2 linked regions of the Oryzias latipes genome follow. The protein of the gene in region 2 binds, or shares a complex with, the protein of the main gene of each other region. Links are inferred from orthologs where the notes say so. Each region holds a gene or a part of one and is shown on either strand. Other genes may lie near its edges.

Region 1 (3,833 bases), on a different chromosome or scaffold from region 2:
AACTTGCAAAAACAAAGATGGTCTAAATGTGTGTGTGTGATCTTAGAGTTTCTAAGAATACTGGAACTATGGAAAAAATAAATTGTGCAAAAGAAGAGAAAATTAAATTCATGTGGTAATAAAAGTTATGATCAATTGTCACATGAAAAAAAAGATTATATATGAAATTATGAAGTATTTCATGTGAGCCGCCCAAGTCACCACATTGACTCATTCAGCTTTAGATAGGACAGAAAAGAGAAGATCTGGTTTCTTCATGTGTTCTTTTTTTCTTTCGCTCTGGATTGGTGTCTCATCTTTGACCTCGGTCACAGCTAATCATCTTGTGGTGTCATAACATGGGACAGCAGCAAAAGTTACTGAGATTCCCCACAGCCATTCTACCTACTTTTAGAAGTGCAAGGCCAGCTGTGACCCAACAAAACATTGACTAAAAAAAACAATTGCATGTTAATAAATAAATGGTATTAGGGGAAAAATGCCTAAAAAGTTGGGTTTTCTAAATTTCCTTCAGACATTTCTTGATCTCTGGATAATTGGTGATAGATTACCCCATGAACAGGCAAGTTATGAAAAACTGGAACTTCTTGCTTTATATACACATCTAGGTACTAGGATTTTTAAAGAGAAAACTAAAAGTTAAATGTATAAACAGCACTTGAAATCATAAATATTTCTGGAACAAAGTCAGTCTCACCTAAAGTGGATAACACTCCACAGGCTGTCCAGATGAGGAGGCAAGGTCCCACAGATCCAGAATAGAGCAAAACAGACTTGGGAGAAATGAAAATCCCTGAGCCAATCATGGTTCCAACAATTAGACAAATCCCACTCAGCAGGCCAACCTGAGCACTCGCAAGGCAAGGTTAAAAAAAACACAGAACAAGAAGAAATATGTTCAGTTGTCATCACTGCAAGAAGCTGTATGTTTGAACACTTAGTGTACATTGAATGACTTCATCTTAGTCTACATGTCTACAAGTCTACTATTGCAATCATTTTCCAACGTCAAGATCAAATTAGATGAAGGCAGGGAGGGTCTATGGAGCCAAATCGGGGAAATAAAAGATCTGAAACCCATAAATAGTATAAAATAGTATAAAATAACTTGAAAAATTCAAGCTGAAATATTGGTGTAAATCTGAAAAAGTGTCTGAAACTATCTGCAAAAACTTCAATATTTTCAGCTTCAAATTTTCTGTTTTTAGGTTTCAGTTTCAACATTTTTTTTTTTTCACTTTAAAATTTTTTTTCTTTCTTTCTTCAATCTAAAGGTTTTTAACTTTTGTCCCCTTTCTGGCGTGTGGAGGCGGGGCTTAGATGAAGGACTAATCAGAATGATGAGGCTGGAAGCTTTCGGCACGGTGCATTCACTAACAATGGAAACTTGGATAATTACGGACAGAATAATAAAATACTTACTATTGAAATGGTCATTGTGAACAAAGTGGCCACAATAGACTTAACTAAGCTTGTAGTAGAACTGAAGGAAGATTCAGACACCAATAACACCCAGATCAACACCCAAATAAAACCAAAGAAATTGCTTTATTTGGCTTTCAAATCTTTATGGCCTGGATTAGTCTCCATAAGTGTACAAGAACTATCAGCGCACAAAGTTTGAAGGGCCTGCATTCCACCAAGTTGAGCAGTGTCTTGACATGATATTTATCTTTGTGCAATCTTGATTTAGTGATAAACCATTTACTACATCTTGCATAAATGAAACTCTTTTTTTAACTTCATTTACAACTTTATGATCAGTAATTGGTGCAGCAACTTGAGCGGCTCAGTTTTGCAATGGAATAAATCAAAAGTATAAATCCAGATGAAGTTCTTTGCGTGACAGATGATGATTACCGCCGTCTGTGTGTGTGTGTGTTTTATTGGGTTTAACAACTAGAAAGGTTTATGTTTTAAAAAACTGTGATATAAATTATTGTCATGTGCTGGATGGGCTTTATCAATTTCACCTGGTTAAGTAACATTGATGCAGCATAACAAATGAGAATCTAGAGTATTTTTAAACCAAACACCATCACACTGAGTATGATGACCAGATATATGTTGCAACACTATATCTACTAAAGTAGTGGGGCAAAAAATACTTGCTGATCTATGAGTTGTTCGACAAAAAATGAAAAAAGGTCTGTAATGTTTATCATATAGAAACTAACTGTGAGAGACAGAATGTAAAAAAAGAATCGAGAAAATCACATTGTATGTTTTAAAAGAATTTATCTATACAAAGGTGCAGGCGATACATATTTTTATATTAATATTCAAACTGGCTATCAGTAACCAAAGATCTGTCCAAGGACACTAAGATTGTACAACTGAACAGAACTAGGCGGAACAAATCTACAATAAGGAAGCAACTTGGTGAGACGAAATCAACTACAAAAATCATTGGCAGCTTCCTCCTACCTGGGGCTCCATGCAACCTCTCACCTGGTGGGGTACAAATTATTCTATGAAGGTAAGGAAAGATCTCAGAACTACAAGGGAGGAACTGATAATAAAGACCATGTAATAAAGGAGTAACACGCTAAATTTTCATGGATTAAAATCCTGCTGTACTCTTAAGATCCCCCTGCAAAGACACGAACATGTCCAGGCCCATTCAAGGTTTCCCAAAGACCATCTGAATGATCCAGAGGAGGAATGGGTGAATGTCGTGTGGTCAGATGAGACCTGAGTTCCATTTCAAGAACACCACATCCACGGTGAAACATGGAGGTGGAAACATCATGCTTTGGAGCTGCCTTTCTTCTAAGGGAACCAGATGACTGATGCATTTTAAGGAAATGAGGAATGCGTCCATGAATGCTAAGATGTGGGGCAAAAATCACCTTCCATTGGTGAGCCCATTGAGGATGAAACGTGCCCTGGTTCCAAAATTACAATGATCCCAAACATAACAGACAATAAAGGAGCGGCTACAAAAAAAAAGCTTCCCAAGGTACTTGAGAGGCCTGGCCAGTTTCTGGACCTAAATCCAGTAAAGAATCTGTGGAGGGAGTTGAAAGTCTGTGTTGCCCCAAAACATCAGCTTCATGGAAGACTGGACCAAGGCAGCAGGTGCACTTTGTGCAAACCTGGTAAAGACCTACAGGAAACGTCAGACCTAATTGATAACCAGGATTACCTTACTAAGTATTGCGGTGAACTTTTATTGTTGACCAAGTTCTTATTTTTGTACAATTATACCAAGATTTTTTTTTTAAATCTTATAATTACAATCATTGAGCGAAAAAACACTTTTTACCCCAACATACACATTTGTGAGCACACATTACATTTTTGTTTAAAATGTCTAAAACCCCCAACCTTCCCAAATCCCCACACGCTGGCAGTTCACTATATTTCAGTCAATTACCCATTTGAATGGGCAGCATCCTCATGTATTTCTACATAGGAAATGTATCGTTGGAGGAGCAAAGTAGTTTGTTCTGGCCATATGTGGGGTTAGCTTGCAGTTTCCAGTAATCATTTATATGTTTTTAAAGTCATGATGTGCTTTTTGTAGCCTTCAAAATAATTGAATTCCAATCTGATCTGTTGGACAAGACCTTAGGAGTAAAATGTGCTCCGCAAGTGTACTGGGGGTTTCAGGTGTTGCATCTGATAATGTAAAAATATTTATCTACTTTTTCATAAAGTGAAAAAGAAATAATTTTGGTGCTAATAACAATTACAAATACAACTCTGCATGCGCAAATAAACAAAATTTGGCTAAAAGCCTGATTAAATTTCTGTATGTTCTCCACATTACAATTGCAAAGAAAAACAACACAAAAAAAGTTAACATCTTGAAAAGAATCTCTGAAAAT
Region 2 (2,573 bases):
CTATATATTTAGGCAAACTCCTACCTAAAAAAGGTCAGGACTTTTTAAAATGATGATATTGCTTTATTGCAGGAAGAAGTAACAACTGAGTGGGACCTTTTTCATGATTACACCACAAGTCAGGTTGGCTTGCATGATATCTTGCGTGAGTTTAGGGCTGAGATGGAACCCTACAGTCGCGAGCCTGGAAAATACAGGTAATTCAGCTAATTTATCACATTTAACTATAATGTAAAGGTTGAGGGAAACATTTCGTTTTAAATGTAATAAACTTTCTGTAATGTAATAAACCTTTAACTGAAAGGACTTTGGTCAAGCAAATTTGTATCTTTACAATGTTATCATTAAAGAACTACCAGAATTTCAGTCAATAATTATTGAATATTTTCATTTTCTAGCAATGCATTGTCCTATAAAAATAAGTAAAGATGCATGTATTGTGCATTCCTGAAAATTATAATTTTATTGTTATAAATCAAAGCATCCTATTCATACTGAATGTGAGGATGGGTTTGGAGATGCTGTTTTTTTGTTTTTGTTTTAAGATGATGGATGATTGATTCAAAAAGGTTTTGTAGAATTGATAAATCTACAAACAGCAGCAGCCATCACTTCAAATAGGTACAGTTGAAATTTTCGCTGATGCTGTAATTCTGTTTCACAGGTTCATGGTGACAGAGTCATATGATTATGAAGAGGTGGAGAAGACCATGATGTACTACGGGACCCCCCTGGTCAAAGAAAGTGACTTCCCCTTTAACTTCTACTTGCTGGACTTGCCTCAAAACGCCAGCGGTTTGTGGGCTAAACATCTAGTTGACCTTTGGATGTCCAACATGCCCAGAGGAAAATGGCCCAACTGGGTGGTGAGTCGCACCAACATTTCAATGGCTTTCCAGCTGATTTACTATTCCTATTCATTTTGATTTCCTATTCCTGCTTCATTAGCTGCTGCCTGTATTTCCCTCAACCTCACACAGGTGGGAAACCATGACAGGAGCCGAATTGCTTCCAGTGCTGGTAAGATGTATGTGCGCGTCATCAACATGCTGCTGCTGACCCTTCCTGGCACCCCCACCACCTACTATGGAGAAGAGATCGGCATGGAGAACATCAACATCACAGCAGACCAGGTTCAGGACCCCTTTGGCAAATATAACCTGGTCAGTATTTTGCTAGTATTAAACAAAACAAAAGTCTCCAGTCTTTTGGATTGCTTTTATTAAAAATATAGAAAAGGACTATGTGAGTGGGTGCCAAATGTTTACTGTGCTTTCTGTGCAGAGCAATAGTCGGGACCCTCAGCGCTCTCCCATGCAGTGGAACAGTGACATGAATACAGGCTTCAATAACTTAACCAACATCACGTGGCTTCCTGTACACCCAGATTACAAAAGTGTCAATGTGGAGGTGAGGAGCTTTTTAAGAACAAAACAAACATCTGACCTGAACGGGCTTAAATTTGCCTTCTGTTGATCACATCTGCTTTCCAATCCTTTCCATCCAGGTCCAAAAGGACAGTGAAGGATCCACAATGTTTCAGTATAACTTTCTGAACAGCCTGCGGCAGGCAGAGCTTCCCTTTTTGCGAGGCTGGTTCTGCTACGTTCAAGCTGATGCAAACATCTTCTCGTACCTTCGAGAGCTCGACGGTCACAAAGAGGCTTACCTTATGGTGCTTAACTTTGGTAAACAATCTGCCACAACAGATTTGTCCTCTGTTCGTGAGCTGCCGGACCAGCTGAAGGTACTGATGAGCACCAACTCCATCAACAATGGAAAAGTCTTTCAGAAGTCTGGCATCCAGACAGAAGCCGGAGAGGGTTTGGTGATTCGATACTCCACCTACACTCGCTTTCATCCCAGTCATGCCACAGAATGCTATGTCTCTGAGAAAGCCTGCTACCTGGACACCGTTGGGATTCTTTATAAATGCTAAAATAAATGAACAGCTGTCGTCAGTTATTCTCAAACTTGATTCAAATACCAGTAGTTCAAAAATTCATGTTCCCTGGAATACAGTGAAGAATAAAGTTGCACAAGCATTTGCTACCGATGTCATCTGTTTTTCAACAGGCTTGTCACCGATTTTTGTTGGATTATGTCTTGTTCTGGCTGTAATGACAGATGTTTGGTTTTTATAGCCAACTGGTTCTTGACATCGTGGCTATCTTTTCCTTTTGCGTGAGAGCAGTGGACGATCCAGGCCTAATTCTGTGTACAGAAATGCAAGCTTGAGCGCTTCCTGTTTGCAGAAATAAGAAGAAAAAAATATCAGAGACATGAACTTTGATAAATTTGGGCAGAAAAAGTAAAATATGACTATAGTAAACTTAACATACACACATTGCCAACTCTACCGGGTGGAAAAGCTTGAAATATTCTTTAAGATTTGGTTGAATGAAACGCTACTTTTAAATTGAAAATATTTGCAACTTTTTAGAAAATACGTTTTTATAAAAATGAGGGATTCTAAAAACTTTTTACTACCTTTTAAAGCCACTTCTAACAGAATGAATGCCTATTTCTGTCATACTGGCATGAACTTTATTCTAACCCAAACCATCTTAAAT

The links.
Region 1: the proteins of slc3a1 (region 2) and slc7a9 are in contact, whole or in part, in a cryo-EM structure (PDB 6LID), measured with the Homo sapiens proteins. The link is inferred for Oryzias latipes from reciprocal best matches to the Homo sapiens genes SLC3A1 and SLC7A9. Residues at the interface, in NP_000332.2 of Homo sapiens: Pro64, Tyr65, Ala66, Gly67, Met68, Pro69, Lys70, Leu73, Phe74, Phe76, Ser77, Tyr82, Pro85, Arg86, Phe90, Thr93, Val97, Leu100, Ile101, Ala103, Thr104, Ile107, Ile108, Ser111, Cys114, His201, Asp202, Thr373, Glu374, Pro375; in NP_001119807.1 of Homo sapiens: Cys137, Phe140, Tyr141, Val142, Gly143, Cys144, Pro147, Ile149, Val150, Cys153, Leu154, Ala156, Ala157, Leu160, Phe161, Thr164, Leu168, Thr279, Thr281, Asp295, Arg296, Tyr299, Tyr343, Val346, Arg347, Lys467, Thr470, Met471, His472, Gln474.

What each region holds. Positions count from the first base shown.
Region 1 is NC_019861.2:25,752,104-25,755,936, reverse strand, and holds part of slc7a9 (B(0,+)-type amino acid transporter 1), read right to left. Parts: intron 846-3,833; coding exon 698-845; intron 1-697. UniProt on the Homo sapiens protein: Associates with SLC3A1 to form a functional transporter complex that mediates the electrogenic exchange between cationic amino acids and neutral amino acids, with a stoichiometry of 1:1.
Region 2 is NC_019873.2:16,356,309-16,358,881, reverse strand, and holds the end of slc3a1 (neutral and basic amino acid transport protein rBAT), read left to right. Parts: intron 1-72; coding exon 73-197; intron 198-664; coding exon 665-866; intron 867-980; coding exon 981-1,163; intron 1,164-1,284; coding exon 1,285-1,410; intron 1,411-1,507; coding exon 1,508-1,939; 3' UTR 1,940-2,049; downstream 2,050-2,573. Other genes in the region: prepl (prolyl endopeptidase-like), read right to left, coding at 2,168-2,245. UniProt on the Homo sapiens protein: Acts as a chaperone that facilitates biogenesis and trafficking of functional transporter heteromers to the plasma membrane.